Daphnia pulex: one gene and its partner. The protein of the gene in region 2 purifies or fractionates together with the protein of the main gene of each other region. This does not show direct contact. Links are inferred from orthologs where the notes say so. Each region holds a gene or a part of one and is shown on either strand. Other genes may lie near its edges. The genes, in order: splicing factor 3B subunit 1-like and THO complex subunit 1-like.

Region 1 (8,714 bases), on a different chromosome or scaffold from region 2:
CCTATATAGAAAAGAAAATGGTTTAAAACTGAAATTCTAATTCAATCAAATAATTAAGTTACCTGCAGTGCGTATTGTAAGACTTTAATAGGGCCCAGGGCTACTCTCATACCCTCCACAGCATCCATAAAAGCTTGAACCAAATGAGGGGATGTTTCAAAAATATTGGGCCAAACGTAGTTCAACAGGTGTGTGAGGGCATCTTCACAACCAAAGCCGAAAACACCCAAAGCCATGTGCTTGATGGCTGCACAAGCAGTTTGACGATGGACCAGGTCACTAAAATAAACAGATGTGCTTCATTAACTAATTAATCATAAATTCAAAATAACTAGAAACTTACCGATCCATCAAAGCGTCTTCTAAGAGCGATGTAACTGAATAAATGTAATCCTTCCCCATCTCGCCAATGTACTCGAACAAGAATGACATCGACTTCAAAACACCATTTTGAACATTAAGTTCCGGGACTCTATATTCGTTCATAAGACCAGGGAGGACGGTGAAGGGCGAACAAGTTTCAGCCACAATTGCAATGGCAACGGTTGTACAAACACGATTTTGGCGCTCCTGTACCTTCAAATTATTAAGCAGTGTAGCCAATACATCGTGTGGGCCTGAAATTTGTTGTTGAAAAATAAATAATTATATTGTACATAATAACCATGACAATTTCGGTCTCACCAATTGCTTTGGCGATATAACCAAAAGTGTTGACTGTAGCTCGTCGAATGGCTTTCTTGTGTGCTTTCAAGAGTTCTAAAAGCTCAAAACAAATGCGCATCCACTCTCGAGCTGAAACGTACTCTGGCCCACGATCGGCAATACGCCCAACCAAATCGATGCAATTTTCCTGTACTTTTTCATGCCGATTCTAAAATGATAATAAAACCACAATAAGAAAAATAAATTACTGATATGTTAAAAAAGCGAACCTTCAAAATAGGTGTTAATCGGGGAAGTAAATCTTTGATTGGCGGTGTCATCTTGTGCATGCCAATTACGTTAACAATAGCTTTAAGAGCAGCTAAAATAGACCCAAGAACTTCAGGGTACTCTTCGCCAAGATATTCATAGAGAACAACTCCCAGATGCCCCATGAGCTTTTCTTCCTGACAAGTTTTCATTACTGCTGCAATACGGCTAATCAAATCAGCAGCTTGTTGCCGAACCTATGGAATAAAAATCATTATATTAAAACGAACGTTTACAAATAAAAGTTGTATAACATTACTTTTGCTGATTTGTTGTTCAAACGCCATAAAATAGTACCACAAATTTGTGGCAAATAAGGTTTAACTCGTTTGGAAAGTGAGTTCACGATTGTACCGAATCCATTTAGCATCACAACATCTTCAGTCGTTTGTTCCTGAAATGCGTAGAGAATACCGTCGATGAGCTGCTCTTCCAAGCGAGCGTCGATATCAGCGGCACCAAGATTACCCATGATCTTTTCGACCGTTTCCATAACCATTTTCCGGTATTGTTCATTTTCGTCCTGTTAGGAAAAATATTCAACATGTTATTTGACTGTCACTGAATTATAAATAATGAAAATGAATAAAACCTTTAAATCGTCAACCACTCGGCCAATAATTTCCGCTGCACCAACACGATTAGCGATTTCAACTGTTGTGTCAACTAGCTGGCGATAGTTACGTCTATCTAATGCCATTCTATGATTCCAGAAACTTTTGAAGAAATGTGGCAAAATTTCTGTTTTAATATACTGAGGTTCCACACCGTCAGTTGCGCAACACTGTTTCACCACTTTAAGTACAATCTTTTTCATTTCTTCGTCAGGTGACTGAAACTCGCGAATTAAAATTAACATCACTTCGCGAGTGTAATAATTGGCGTATTCGGCATCCATGAGAGGAATCAAATAGCCAATAGCCTATTTTTTTTAAACAAATAATATTACAGTATGCAGGATAATATTTTACTTTCAATTAACATACCTTAAGGAAAGCAGCCAATCCCTTACCACGATGAGTTCTTATACCCTTCCACAACGGTTTTAAAACAGAGTCAAAGCTCTCAATACCGTACGGAGTCGCGGCTTCTGCCAGCGCAGCAATGGACAAGGCAGTGATGGTGCGCACTTTCTGTTGCTCATCTACCAATCCATGTTCAATGATCTCAACCAGATTTCGCAAGTGAGGTAAAATAGCACATCCCATAAGAATAGCAATTTGTTGGACGATTTTGATGCCAGTATGGCGAGCTTGCCATGACTTTTTACTCTTGCAAACGGCCTAAAATAAAAATAATAGATAAGAACAAGCCCATCTTAAAACTGAAACAAACTATATACCTTTAGAAAGGGAAGAAGGGAAGGAATTCCCAGTGCAGAAGCTACCACAGCAAAAGCTCTTGCAGTAGTGTTACGAACATATTCATCAATGTTATCGATATCAGGTCTCATGGTAGAAATCATAGTTGCTAAACCAGCTGCTTTGGCTAAATTAGAGATGATTTCTCGACCTTCAACACGAGCATAATAGTCTTCGTCGATTAGCAGCGGTTCAATAACGACAAGGATTTTGTGGACGTATGGACGCACTAGATCATCCAATTTGTAGAGAATGCGATCGATAACTTTAACGAGCAAATGTCGCTCTTGGTCTTCAAGGGTAGGAGACATCAATAAAGGAAGGATCTGATTGAAAAGTGGACCAGCTCCGAATTCTCTAGCCTATTGAAAAACATAAACGCAGTTTGAAGATACAATTACTTTAAAATAATATATATCAGTTTACCTTATCAGTGATTTGTCTTAATGCAGATTTACGCATAGGTGGGGTACCGTTCTTGATTTTAAGTAAAAGAGTCATGATTTTTCGTTCTTTAAGCTCTTCTGGGCTCAATGAATCTTCATCAACATCAATCTGCAAAATAATAGAGTAAAAACTTTTTAATTTTACTTAAAAGAAATAGTTAAGTATAATTACCAATAGCTTGTCAAAATATTGGGCATCTTCTGGCTTCAAAAAGGGCAAGTTACCGCCTTTGGGTTGTGTGTCCATGTATTTTGAGGCAGTTTTATCTTCTTGTTGCATGTAGAATCCCGAATTGGCCCCAGCTAATGGAGTGGGAGTTGCAGTTAATTTGCGCGCCGGGGTACGTAGAGGAATGTATCCAGCTGGAGGAGGCAGGACCTTGTAGCCTTCTGGAAACATCCCGTCTAGTTCATCATCTCCAATTGGGCGGTTTCTTTCGTCGATTTCTCTTTCCCATCGGTATGCCTATTTCGATAAATTTCATTGTGGGTTACATATTGAACATCAAAACGGATAATGCACTGATTACTTGTAGTTGTTCAGGAGTCATGGTAACAAGGTGTCCTGGAGTTGGGGTAGCCATGGCCATAGCTTTTTGTCCGATTGGAGTAGCTCCACCCGGTGTCATTCTTGGAGTCATAGCTCCAGATAGTGAAGGAGTTTGCGGAGTCATTCCACCAGACGGTGTCGCACTGGAATTAGCTGGTGTTTCATCCCAACGGCTGCGACGTTTCGATGCCGAAGGAGTTGGTGTCTCCTGGATTGTGTCTCCTCCACGATCTGTCCGTGGTGTCTCAGCCCAACCAGAACCAAAACCAGGAGTAAATTCGCCGGCTCTTTCAGTTTTCGGTGTTTCGTCCCAGCGATTCCGTTTGCGGGAGTCGTCATTTCCCGGCGTAGCATCCCACAGACGACTTCCAGGGGTAACACCTCCAGCTGCCGGGGTTTCAGAGCCTTTGGAGCGAGAAGGAGTTTCATCCCAACGAGCTACTGCTGGCGTTTCCACTTCCCAGGTTTTCTTCTTTACCGTAGGAACAGTTGGTGCTGCAACTGGAGTGGCAGCAGGACCTGTGTCACCTTCACCTGTTTGATCCCAACGGGCTGCACGTTTCCGTGGCGCTTCATTTGATTCGCCGTTTGATGGTACCGTTACAGCTTTTAAGGTACCATCCTTAGCTTTGTCGGCAAGCTTCCGGCGGACCTAGAAATGAATACAAATGATTACATGTATAATCTCAACTACACCATAAATTATCCATTGTCATTACCTCTTGCTCTTCTGCGCGCAACTGTTGTTCACGAATAATATGAGCGTAAGTGCGAGATCCAACGTCTGGGGTTTTACCGCCTGCACAGAATAGCAATATAAAAAAGGAAAATGGGTTATTATTCAAAGTAAGGAAGATTTTGTAATCGAAATTTAAAGAAAAAATTGGCAGTCGAGACCCAAACTCCCTGTGAGCGACGGAAGTAGAAAAAACTCTTAAACCAGTTTCTTCGCCCACAAGAAGTTACAAATACATACGTGGTGATGATTACGGAAGGGGAATTTGAGCAGATCAGCTCCTGGCCCACAAGTGAATAATCCACCTATAATTAAGTAGCTTGTTCTAGGTTAATATTGGCTTCTAGTATCCTTAATAGTTTCTTGTAACAATTCCCCTTTGAGAGCCTTAGATTACTCACCTCCAAGAGCTCTTAACTTAACTGGTTGCTATGGCACTCTTTTAATTTGCCATTGGGTCACGACATGAGAATATAGATAAACAAAAAGAGTTTACTTCACAATCACAGATGTTCTTAATTCTAAAATAAGATTAAATTGAATAATGTGTTCCACTTTGCATTACAACAAGCAAGTATACTAAAATGAATAAAAAATATTAAATTTACCTTCAGCAAATGGATCAACACGTTCTGGGGAAATAATCAACTTCCGACGCTTTGCTCTGTATTCATCTTCTCTGTCAGCAATAGTTGGTCTGCGATGTTCAGCAAATGGGTCAAAGTCTTCTCCTGCCACTTCATTGAGAATCGCAGCTGGTGCTGTGAAAGTTTGCCTGCCTCCAGTGGCAACTGCTCCATCATAATCTTCTTCTTCAACTTCATCAGTTGTGGCAATTGAAGTTACATATCCATCAAATCGACTTTGAACTTCACCGTAGATTTCTGAATCAAAAATGCCTGATTCGCCAAATCCGATGCGATCTTTTTCAGATATATCTACCTTGCTCCTTGACTGGATTTCCTGAACTTGAGCTGCAATTTCTGGAAAGACATATCAAACCACATGTTAAACACAGTTAATATTATGGCATGTTCAGAGTTGTTATGAGACACTTATACACATGTGCAACTAGAGGTAAATAAGTTAACCAAATAATCCAATGATAAAAATTTGGGTAGCAAAAAAAGCTGTAAATTATCTTATCTTTGAAATAATTGCCAATATGATGTAAATAGAAAAACAATATTACCGTCGTACGTATTCGGTGCCTTATTATTCGCGTCCATTTTTAGAGCTTCTCCACTCTTCTTTACAACGCACTTTGTTGCCAGATCATGCATGAAGATTTGTTGCTGCTGTCAAATCAAATCTCAAATGCGTAGAAATGCAAATTATACATTTCATCGTCGAATTCCACCAAATTGTGTGTGTCTATAGTTTCTATTTGTAGACGAAAGTTTTTTTCCGTTTCTGTATTAAATATTTTTTATAGAATAATAAATCTGTATTTATAAAATGGCCGGTGCGGACGTGCGGCTCCGGTCAGCCTCTCTTGACTCTTGACTCTTGAGTTGAGTCTTTAAACGCTTGAAAAATAATAGTTGAAGGCAATTTCTATCGAGTAAGAGTCATGAAATGCCTTTTTCCATACTATATTATGATTTCCTAATCCTTATTACTCATGGTTGTTATCGAATATCGACGAGTCAAATATTTTTCAATGATTTCTACAGCATATTGGCAACAATGCAATTCGGATGTGCAGACGACATTCTTAGTAAGTATTTTGAAATGTCAAATGACAATATTTTCCTTTTTGTTGTCATAGTTTTAAGCTAATTTCATAGTTTACAAAAAATATATTTATCTTGGTATAATATTGCTTAAACTATTTACTGGTGAAAAGTGTATTGTCGTGAAGGGAGACACATAAATTTTACGTGAAAATGAAGAAAAACAATTTGCTCAAACTGTTAGTTGGCTCCCTTCTCACGTTCTCCTTCATTCGAGGGATTCATCGTTTTGTTTTCGAATTGGAAGACAACAAATGCGAAATGACCTTCATGTTTGAATATCCGCAATATATTGTAAGAGTATTACTTCTGTCCTTATTAAAGATTGCCATTTTTAAAAATTCTGTTATTATAGAAAATCAAATTAAATGAACCAACATCAACTGAATTCCCTAATTACAACTTATTTGTTTACGGAGAAGGAGAGCAAGCTGAAAGATATAAAAAGGGTGAATTTACTGGAATTCCAGTTCTTTTTATACCAGGAAATGCAGGGTCTTATAAACAAGGTATAGTTTCACTATGTCATGAACTTGTTATAGCAAAAATTAATTTAATGTGTGGCAATTACAGTTCGGTCTCTTGCTTCTTTTGCTTATCGCAAATCTCTGGATTCAAAGAAACATTTTCACTTTGACTTTTTTACAATTGATTTCCATGAAGAGTTTTCAGCTCTGTATGGGGGTATACTGAAGCAACAAACTATGTTTACTAGTAGTTGTATTAACAGAATTCTTCATCTCTACAAATCTACTCATCACCAACAAAAGTCACTGCTTTTAATTGGCCACTCTATGGTTGGGTACTGACAAATTTAATATCCAACATTTTGTATAATTATTCTTTATATATTTCAGGGGGGAATGGTTGCTAAAGCAGTTTTTAGTGAAATGGATTTTGATTCTGCTCTAGTGACCACCATTATCACTCTAGCCACCCCACACAAAAGTCCTGTTATAGTGCTAGATGAGGACATGGACAGTTTTTATCAAGAAACCAGTACATTTTGGAACGAATCGACAAATCGAACAAAACACGTCGCTTTAGCATCAATCGGTGGAGCGGACAGAGATATTCAAGTTCGGTCTGGGCTTACTGCTGCTAATTCACCAACAATCAACGTTCTGGTAAATTAGCAACAATTAAAATATAAATTTGTTAAAATAGATTCAGTCAAAATGTATAAATTCGATTTTTATTTGCCAGACTACCGAAATGCCGACAGTTTGGCTTGCTGTTGATCATCTGTGTATAGGTACGGTACTAAGAAATGCTAATTACGCTTATTTGTGTAAGTAGTAATGTAGTGTTTAGTGTGGTGTAAACAGGTAGTTTCGACAGTAGTTCGATCTCTATTCGATATGGTTGAACCTTCAACGCAGAACTGGATTGAACGGGTTGATCTACGAAAAGAAATTCTCCTCTATCACCTCATGAAGGTTATTAATTAATCCAAATTTAAATTTCATATTTTCCAACATTTTTTTTTTCCAATTTACAAAAGCGCAATGAAGGGAAAAGCTTTAAAAATTTCCTGAATGTAAGAGAAGTCGATTTTGATCCAGAAGGACGATGGAGAGAAGTTGTTGTGCCACATTTCACTGCCAGCATTGAACAAGAAAAGGAAAAATATAGCAATAGCTATTATATGATTCCGTTAGTCGACAACGCTTATCGAGATCGTTTGGCGGCTGTAGCATCTGGACTACCCATTAAATATTGGGTTTTCGGCTGTGTTGCTTTGACTTGGCACAAAAATACTAGATTCTGGTAATTATCACACATTTTTTATGATGAATTTAATCTTAAATTTTAGTTTTTCTTCATGTATTGTTGTTTTTTAACACTCTAATATGTAGTGAGCGCGGTATCGATTTATCACATCAAACTGTTCTGTTACCGAATGCCGGTGATTTTGTTAAGCGGAAGTTTGTCTACCTGGACTTGGTCAAACTCAAAGAGAATGGTTTCACTCATATTGTATTTTTAATCCCCAAAAGTTATCAAAAGGTACTTCGTTAAGTTCTTTTCTACAATTTAATATTTAATAACTTTTCATGTGTGCCTTTTACCATAGGGATCTATTTTGTTTGATGTGCACCGCTCTATTGATAGAAACGTTGAAATCCGCTTCCCTTTCGCAAGATACATCCCATTTGCTTCAGCTGGAAAGATAGTGGTTCCGAGTAACGCCGTTTCATTCAACGTAACTTTACCAGACCTCAATAGATCATGGCAGTCAATTTTCCTTAAGATCAACGGAAACGATTGTCCTATGGAAAAAAATGCAATTGTACGAAAAATTGTGCCATGGTCTCATGAAAGCCAATACTTTCTGTCAAATCAGAGCTTCTCTGTTCACCTTCATGTTCCTAAAGCTCCTGTCGATAGCGAATATGATTCAGTGCATCTTCAGTTTATCAGTCCCAATCCAAAATGCACTTACGAAATCGAGTATGAATTGCGGTTTTAAAAGATTCTTATAATTTATCATGTACATATTCATAAATTAAATTTTTTTATTATTTTCCTAATAGAGTTTCTACTGACTGGATCGGCATGTGTGCCCAACTGGCCCGGTTTTATTCGCCTTTTCTTTTGCCGATGCTATTTGCAATTTTTTTGTATTGTTTTTCAAGGCAACTTAAAGAGAAACAATCTAATAATGCAGTCCCGTCCATTTTAACTTGCCTTGTCGAAATGCCAGTCATCAAAATGGCCCTTATTCCTGAGGCTTTCTCTATTTGCTTTGGGTATTACTTGTTGAATTTAATGAGACCATAGTATATATTTTTTAAATTATTGACACTTTTAATACTTCTAGAATTATCGATTCGTTACATCTACCGGCGTGGCCTTTTCTGCCGTCCGATGAATTTCTTCTCCGGAATCATGGGCTTGGCTTTCCTT
Region 2 (8,968 bases):
CAAAAAGTATATAATTGAACTAACTAAATGGCCCGACGTAAAATGATGGACACAAAGATAACATGTTGGAATAAGAAGCGTTGAATAATATTACCTTGGGAAGCCTTGTTGGATAATTCTTCAGAAAAATTTTACGTCGCAACAGGTTAACACATTAACACTTAGCCACAAACCGTGCAGTCGGAGGTCTGATGAAAAGCAATACCGCCAATGCCAAGCTTCAGCCCTCGTCTGCTCCGCTCGAGAGTGGCGCCGATCCTTCGTATACCACACGCTGATGACTAGAGCTCCGGCAACGGCCTATTCGCCGTTATTTCCAAACCCGTGAATCGATGCAACTTCTCCCTTACTCTACCTCTTTCGAACTAGGATCTCTTGGCGACGACGCGATCTCTATTCATGCACTTTTTTTAATGTAGAGAATGGTTATACTCCATGAGCTGGCACTACTCAACACGAATTCTTTTCTTCCACGAAAATAATGATAAAGAACGTCAAAAAACCAAGCTTGTCGCCAGATCTGCTCTGTTCCGACTAAAATCAATAATCGCCAGAAAATTAGTTTAGCTCCTTTCTGTTTTATGTTCCACGTGTTATTTTGTCTTCATTCGAATTCGAATTCACAATTCAATCATGTCATTTATCTTTAATCTTGGATTTCGCTAACGAACCAAAACTCCAAAACTGATTTCGAAAAAGGGCGCAGCGGGGCACAGCTATTTCGTTAACCGAGATGTAGAATGAATCGAAGGGTGTCGACTTCGCATGTCTCCTTTGTATTAAAACGTTGCTTTTCTAGTTAGAAAACTACGTTTCAAGCAAGCAAGGTTGTTTTACGTCATAGTCTATCAGCATGCTTATCAAGTACACACGCGCAGACCAAAAGATGTCGTCCTTCTCGCGATTTTATATGCCCTGCGTCTCGACCCAATGAGTATTGATCGCTTTTACCGTGGTTGTCACTTGCTGCTTGAACTGCTTCAACGGCCCCCCCCCCCCCCCCTCCATGAAGCTTTGTGCTGGCTTTCTGACTAATACAATGTCACACCATGAATATTTCTTTTTTCTTACTTGGGGTTTTCTGGTCTTTCTCGGATGGCAGCCTAAACAAAAGACCCACAATATAACTAATCTATTTAAAAAAAAAACTCTGAAAACTCCAGTTTGCTTAGCCCAACACTTTACATCATATACAAATGTTAAATTCGAAATTACACTAGCTTAGTTATGCTTTAGTGTATCTTAAGTTATAAAGAACTAAAAATTTTCTTAAACACAATATTTTAGGTTTTAATAATATATTCAAGGTAATAAAAATGCTTCTGTAAAGGGGGAGGGAGGCATGAAAGAGCTTATGAATACTCTCCCCGCTGACACGGTATGTGTGAACTGAACAATATAATTCCGTGCTACTCAAGGAACGAGAAGCGTACAGGTGAATTTTCTTGTAAAAATTTTGTGTATTTCTTTTTTTTTTTTTTTTGTGAACAAGATGAGGCATATGAAAGCAATAAAAATCATAATATTCCCTGAGCGCTGTCTAACATGCCGAGGCCTTCTAATGTGTAGAGCAGGTTCTCTGGAGTAGCATCTGCTTCATTTTCTAACCATATCTGAAACATTTTCTTAGCCTGAATTTCGACTTCGTTTGTTTCACTTTCAAAATACTCCACCTGTAAAATATTTTGGAAAACATCAGCAATTTTGGCATTGATTCTTTTGGCATGTCATAATAATATATTGCTAATGGGTATTTTCGAAATAAAAAAAGAAAAAGAAAATCGGAAGAATATTTTTTAAAGATAAAAGTATGTCAGCGACCGTTAGCCATCTACGTTCTTTTTAAATATTCAGGTTTGGCACCTAGGCTGCATGAGTGGAGCCAGTGAGCAGCATATCGATTTCCTATCAAACTAGACGCTATCTACACATCTATAGGTATTTTTCCACTGTTGGCAATACAACTTTTAACTCTCCTGGAATCTTAACTTTAAACATAAAAAAAAAAATAATAATAATAATAATTTAAAAAATATATATATTTGAATTCAGGTTGTGTACGTCTCGGGATTAGATTTTGAACCTAAAGCTGATTGGTGCACATCCAGCTCAGGTGGATGCAATTTTAACTTTATCTCATGCATCCACTGTATATAAAACTATTATCATAGCCAAGAAAACTAGGAAACTAATAATATGACGGAATTTACTCGTTTTCTATGTTTGAAAAAATAATGCAGCGTCATTAAGACTATTAAACTAAAGGGCTTAAATTCAAAATTCGAAAAAAACAGAACGTCTTAAATTTTGTAGTTACCTCATCTGGTCCAAAACCAAGTTTTGGTGCGAGAAGTTTCCAATTAGTCCCGATTTGTTTTGCTAAGCGAGTGAGTTGATCCATTGTGCAGCAAAGTACAGGTTTCTTTTCAGTGCTTTCTTCTTCTTCCATCTCATCCGGTTTTACATTAGTTTCTTCTGGGACTCCTTCAATTTCCGAGTTATTGGACACTGGGTCTGCTTCCGGTTCCATTTGTTCTACCTCACCAGCGTCGTCCACTGGCTCCGGTTTTACATTAGGCAATGCATTTGCTGACTGCTAAATGAGAAGATTGTTATTAATGTACGCAACAATGTTTTGACCGCATTATTTTAAAGTTTGATCAATTTTCAAATTTTGCACGGTTAGAAAATTAGGACAATATTTATCAAATCGCTAGTTGCAAGCTAAGCTTGCCTATTCAAACCCTTTCGATAAATGCTTTTCGTAAACGTAGCATACAATATCATTCTCCCACAATACTTATAAATGTTAGCCTATAATTTTTATTATCATATTATTTGAATAAGCCAACTACAAAACCAGTAATATATCAAGATTATCCAGGGATTTCCAGACAAATGAATGTGAAAAATTACCTGACACCTAACAAACTCGTCTGTATTTCTTCTGGATCAACTATTTCAAAATCTTTGTTTAACAGCAAAACCCGTGCAAAAGTTATGAGTCTCGATAACAAAATTCAAAATACCTCAAAATATTAAAAAAAAATATATATATATATTCCCAAATGAGAACCTAAATCCCTGACTTTTCCCTGTATTGCAGAATGGGAACCGTGATATTCATCTGATTTTACTCTACCTGCATGTCCTTGGCCAGTTTGCGAACGTGCGTTTCCAAGTAATCTGGCAGCCGAGTGATAGGAGTATTACCATGAGTGAAGAAATGTAAACTTCGTCTAGCCAAAAGCCGCAAAGCACGCCACCCAAAATTAGCCTCACTAACTCGCCTGGAAACACGAAAATCGCTCATTCAGTTAAAACATTTTCGGAAAAATGTAAGCTTTAAAGTGCAAATTTTTACTTGTACTGGCTTTCCACTGAAGGATCCAGTTGCTCAATGGCTTCCTCAAAATAGTTTTCTAATGTAGGTAGAAAATCTCGATCTTTAGATCGACAGGCAGCCATGTTATCAGGACATAGATTCCACAAACGATTCATCTCAGCGCTAAAGAGAAAAAGCTGTAATTCAATGTTTTCAAATAATTTCATAATTTACCTACTTTCCAATAATGCACTTATTTCTTTTTGAAGCTTCTCGAATCTGATCTCCAAGACTTCTTTTGAGCCGTCTTGGTCGGCCAACTACGATCGTCTTTTTTTCTCCATTGGTACCATCTTTTATAGTATCATTATCAGTGGTTGAGCTGGTTATGCTGGGCCGGAATTCCGGGCAGCCATCGTTCTTCCAGTTGCTCCATAATTCTTCCCGCTACATCCAACAAACACCGATGGATGATATTTTTTAAAACTACTTTTATACAACTCAGTATACCTTTAGTATGTGTCGAATAGATTGGACGAAAGAAGCGCCATCTGGAGGTGTATCTTTCAATAACCGATAGACTTGATCGATAGCCTCGGAAACCCACGTAGTTTGTTCTTCGTTGAGCTTGTGAGTTTCGCTATAAATAGAAGCAATTCAAGCGGTTGAAATAGTCTAACTAATGAAACTTATTGAAACTAACTGTTTAAACTTGACAGGTGAATCCAGATATTGGAACATAATCAGAAACTGCAGCAGAATGTAACGTCTGAAGTTGGAGTCACCGAGCTGAAGTTCGAGAAGATTTTGACTCGTCAAATATTTGGCGAAATATTGTTGGACATTTCCACCATTCATGCTGGTTTCATTCATATCGATGTTTAATGCCACATCTGCCTCATCCCATTTAGAGCGGTTTCTCCGCTCATCCAGTTTGATAGTAGAAAATGCAGACAAAACATCACTAGTATGCTAAAGAATAATTGTTTTTCTGTTAGATGGAAAATTTTAACTTGAAATACTTGATGTTTTAGCTACCAAACAAAACGTTTTCCACGGGATTTTCGTATAGCACTGATTAGGGTTTCGAAAGAAATCTTGTAGGGACCAAAATTTTTTGTACAGATTGTAGTCGGAGCTCAAACTACAAAACAAGAAAATTTAGAAAAATATTGCAATAACTTGTCAATCAAATATATATACCTTTCTTCTACTTCCATTGCATCCTTGTGCTTTTCAGAATTAGCAGATATATCAGCAGCGTAGCTTTCATCTTTAGCTCCAAATGTCGTCAAATTATCCAAATTAAATTCGCTTACTACGTTAAGTCCGGATCGTTCAGAGAATGGGAAAAATTTTGCAAGAAATAGAAGAATTCGACCACAGAAAACCGTGTTCTGGCTTCGGGACAAGCGCCTCAGCAGATCTGAAAAAAAATATACATATAAAATTCATTTCAGCAACACAACTCACATAAAGCGAAACACTGTAAATGAATTTAGCAGAGTGGTATACATTGAAATAAGAGTAATGGATTGAATTCATATCAATACAGAATTAGATGCATCCAGTTACATAAATATTTGTGTCATACATTATTAGAATTTTGGAAAAATGTCTTTACATACCATTGCAAAGGCGAAGTAAGGTATTTTTACACTGATTGAAGAAAAGCTCTTGTTTCCAAATCGCTACTTTCATTTCAACCATGTAGAAAATTTCCTCACATTTTTCCAGAGACAGGATGTCAAAAGCATCTGTGAGCAAAATCACAGGCAGTGTTGGAGAACATACTAGAGCTACTGCACAATCCAGACTCAACTGCAACAACTTTTCAAACAATGGTATGGAAAAGTTTGAGGAATCACTCAAAAATCTGTCTCTAAACGCCTGATCCCATACAGCTTTTTTATCAGCTTCCCTACAATAAATATGTTTAATTACAATAATATGTAAATACTTTCTGCTTTGATTAAATTTACCCAAGATGAGCTGTATTGTTAACTGAAAGTAATTCACTGATAGTGGGTGGACCACCCAGTTTAAGAGCTTCAGAAATGGAATCCTACAGAAACCAAACACAGAAGACATAAGATTTTTCAATTTATTTCAAATATGGCTCATTGATAGATTTTTTTACTGTACCAGAAACGAACACCGAGTTTTCTCAAAATCAAATATTTCCATTTCAGTGGTTTTTTTACAAAGTAAGAAACATAAAAATAGTCGTGTTTTCGAAACGATCAGACGACGCTTCAAAACTTGGTTGCGTTGCCAAGTTTGTAAATTGCAATGTTGCCATTCTAAAATCAACTTGATTTTTTTTTCCGAATCCCGGAAAGCGGAAATTCTGGAAAGAAGTAAATGTCAAACCATTCAAGTTTAACTAATAAGTAATCGGTGATAATCAAATAATTTATCTGTTCAAAGAATATGTTTTGACTGAGATTACCGTTTTGACGTTTTCATACAAAAATGTTACTCGATTATCATCCCCTAGATGGCGAGTCGACGGATCAATAAAAATGGTGTTCTACAAAAGAGAGTCCTTTTTTGAAAAATCATCTAACGCGGGACTGCACCGAGTTTAATAAAGATAAAATTCCCATATAAAAACTACCTAATTTTAAGACATTTCTCATGTTTAATGTAATCGACAATAAGTAGCCTTTTTGAACTCAATATTTTCAATAGCATTCCAATGCTACTCATTTCACTACTAAACAATATTTAAGCGCATTCAAATACTCGAATGTTTTCAACTTCCATTCGTATTACTTTTATCATTTGATTTCCTATGAAAATCGGCAGGTATTGCCTGCCATATTACAACTACAGTATCGACTGCACTATCTACCGAGATTTCATAACCTTGTTCTAGTCTCTATATTTGAACTACCTCTGTTTGCTTACGAGCTCTGATTTTATGTCTACTTCCTGAAGTGCACCAGGAAAAGGCATAGAGGATTAGAGATATCGATTCTTTACTGCAGGGAACCGCCGTTTGTGGCACTTTTTAAAATCCTATTTCGCCTTTGATCATCTCAAATAAGAATAAATTAAAAGGAAATTATTAGTAGCATTATAAAACACCAGATAAAAGATATAAAATTTTACTTATTTCAAACCAATTTATCTGTGTCATTTGGACTGCAGGACGTCATCAACGAAAGATGACGCGGCACGTAAGCTGAAGCAAGAAACGCGAATCCTTAGGCCTTATTCTATTGTAATTAAACATGTAGATGGCGATCGCTTTGAGAGCCTTTAATGAGAAGAAGTTGTTTTCTCTGTTCAAATCGTCCCTGTGAACGAATAGAAGAAGGATGATTGCCAAAAACTTTGTCGATTTGTTTTTTATTTGCTGGCTACAATAACTCTTTGTCAAGCCTTTAATGTAATTATCTTGGGTTATTTACTCTCTGCATTGGCTAGTAACAATTGATGGGAGTAAAGGATAACTCGCAAAACATTACTATATCTCAAGCTAAAGTACGCAAACAAAACAGTCACAACGCTGTCTCCAGGGCAAAATGCCAAGATGTACTTGTACTTTGAAGTATCAAAATTGACAAAAAGTTGGTTTTTTCCCCGGTTTGCTATCAAAATTTCTCAACTTCACCAGGATAAAGGAAAAAATAAAAAGATATCGCTAAAAAAAAAAAAAAAAAAAATACCCATGGCCCATGACAAAGGAGCAAAAGGGGCCGAACGGCTTGCAGATAATTTATTTGTCACGTATAAGGCTATCTAACGGTATTATTCAATTGATCGCAAACGGTTGTGCAATCTTTTTTCTGTGATTCACCTTTAGGTTGCGTGTATATAAACTGGTCCGAAAATTTCACTTTTCAGTTCCACTTTATAGTTCCAAAAGCGACGACACCATGGCGGTCTGTCATCATCGTCTTCTCTTGTTGCTGCTCTTTAGCTGCCTGTCTCTTCGCGCCATCGGCAGCCGAGTCAACATAACCAACAACGGCTATCGGGATATTGTCATAGCAATTTCACCTGATGTTCCCTCAGATCAAGCTGATGATTTATTGGATAACATCAAGGTAACATTTTAGAGTTTCTTTCAAAGCTTTTACTATTCCTTGTTCTTGTTACAAAAGAATTTTATTATTTCTTCTTAAAGTTGTTAATCACTGAAGCTTCAGCTGATTTGTATGAAGCAACTCGGAATCGATCCTACATTGAATCAGTGAATATTCTGATCCCTCAGACGTGGGAAAACGTCATAGCCAACGCCAGTACATGGGAAAATTTGCAAGTATACTTGAATAAATTTATCGCATAAAAAGGAGAAATTAATTCGCAAATGGCAAAATTTTATGAACTAAACCAGAATGCGGACATTCAAATCGACCTTCCGAACTGGAAATATGGAGAAAGACCATACACCGTGCAATTGGGCGGATGTGGCGATCCTGGCGAATACATTCACTTGACGCCCAATTACGTCAAGAATTTCGATTCGGAATTCAACTTGTTTCAGTTTGGGCCAGCAGGTAGTGTTTATTTTGATATTGTACGTACCTTAATTATAATTACAACAATGTAAAATTAATTTTAAATGACAGGCAAGGTTATCGTGAGAGAATGGGCTCGACTGCGTTACGGAGTGTTTGAGGAGCACGGCTACACGGGCGACGAGTCAGCCTTCCCAATGTTCTACCGGTCAGCATCTGCCGGGCAACAAACGGCCGATTTGGTGCCTAATGTTTGCTCTGATGAGCCCGTTGACTTTACTTTTGATTACGGCTGTCATGTCGATCCGCAAACGGGCCTCTACGACTCAAATTGCACCTACAGTTTCACAGACCAGTTCAGACCAGGATCGTCCATCATGTCTGATTACAGGATGCTTAAATCGGTATTTTCCATTATTGAAAAGATTGCTTTTGAATTTCATTAACCCCGTCCATGGTTTTAGGCCATGCATTTTTGTGACGATGAGGGATCCAGTCTTCACAAACACAATCGAGAAGCACCCAATCAGCATAACGCAGTTTGCGACACGCAAAGTGTCTGGTCGGTGATTACACGTCACATCGATTTTGTCGAAAACAACAATTTGCCAGCCACCATCGCTGATTTGAAGCCAACATTTAATGTCGTCCGAGTTTTGAACGGAGCTCGTTACGTTCTCGTTACTGACGTGTCGGGCAGCATGGTCGATTATGTAAGCACATTGAATAATGAGTATTTACTATACGATTTCTATTATTTTACTATGCGATTTTTTCTTTTAGAATCGTATTGGAAGGTTGTACGATTCGGCTCGACGTTGGATTCAGTATGACATTCCCGAAGGAACTTCGTTAGGGATCGTCAAGTTCCAGTAAATGAGGCTATAACTAAATATATTTAAAACTTTTTCATTAAATTCATCCTATTCTTTTTGTCCTTTTTGTCTTATATTCATAGTTCGTATGCGACGGTGCTAAGTAACATGACTGTCGTAAACGATGAAACGCGGCAGCAACTGATGGACAAAGTTCCCAACAAAACAGAGGATAATACGTGTATCGGCTGCGGACTCCAAATGGCGATTGGCGTAACATTTCTGAATCCGAAATTCTCATTAAAAAGGAAAGTAGAATAGCTCATTCTAACATGAAGTTGTGGTGTTATTAGATT

Evidence for each region.
Region 1: the proteins of THO complex subunit 1-like (region 2) and splicing factor 3B subunit 1-like purify together in Homo sapiens (co-immunoprecipitation; 4 studies listed by BioGRID and IntAct, with this or other methods). This does not show direct contact. The link is inferred for Daphnia pulex from reciprocal best matches to the Homo sapiens genes THOC1 and SF3B1.

The regions. Positions count from the first base shown.
Region 1 is NC_060027.1:4,648,933-4,657,646, forward strand, and holds the start of splicing factor 3B subunit 1-like, read right to left. Parts: upstream 5,387-8,714; 5' UTR 5,352-5,386; coding exon 5,261-5,351; intron 5,052-5,260; coding exon 4,677-5,051; intron 4,132-4,676; coding exon 4,052-4,131; intron 3,985-4,051; coding exon 3,313-3,984; intron 3,249-3,312; coding exon 2,955-3,248; intron 2,892-2,954; coding exon 2,763-2,891; intron 2,699-2,762; coding exon 2,318-2,698; intron 2,259-2,317; coding exon 1,962-2,258; intron 1,898-1,961; coding exon 1,568-1,897; intron 1,499-1,567; coding exon 1,235-1,498; intron 1,173-1,234; coding exon 936-1,172; intron 875-935; coding exon 685-874; intron 618-684; coding exon 344-617; intron 280-343; coding exon 63-279; intron 2-62; coding exon 1-1. Other genes in the region: GPI inositol-deacylase-like, read left to right, coding at 5,958-6,098, 6,160-6,313, 6,378-6,601, 6,662-6,931, 7,011-7,059, 7,119-7,243, 7,309-7,574, 7,664-7,814 and 3 more. UniProt on the Homo sapiens protein: Component of the 17S U2 SnRNP complex of the spliceosome, a large ribonucleoprotein complex that removes introns from transcribed pre-mRNAs.
Region 2 is NC_060026.1:6,260,139-6,269,106, forward strand, and holds THO complex subunit 1-like, read right to left. Parts: upstream 5,629-8,968; 5' UTR 5,513-5,628; coding exon 5,471-5,512; intron 5,391-5,470; coding exon 5,308-5,390; intron 5,247-5,307; coding exon 4,954-5,246; intron 4,752-4,953; coding exon 4,529-4,751; intron 4,470-4,528; coding exon 4,364-4,469; intron 4,298-4,363; coding exon 4,029-4,297; intron 3,966-4,028; coding exon 3,836-3,965; intron 3,773-3,835; coding exon 3,564-3,772; intron 3,509-3,563; coding exon 3,365-3,508; intron 3,291-3,364; coding exon 3,143-3,290; intron 2,597-3,142; coding exon 2,318-2,596; intron 1,674-2,317; coding exon 1,518-1,673; 3' UTR 1,441-1,517; downstream 1-1,440. Other genes in the region: calcium-activated chloride channel regulator 1-like, read left to right, coding at 7,213-7,383, 7,464-7,598, 7,674-7,836, 7,909-8,201, 8,262-8,510, 8,581-8,669, 8,756-8,885, 8,966-8,968. UniProt on the Homo sapiens protein: Component of the THO subcomplex of the TREX complex which is thought to couple mRNA transcription, processing and nuclear export, and which specifically associates with spliced mRNA and not with unspliced pre-mRNA.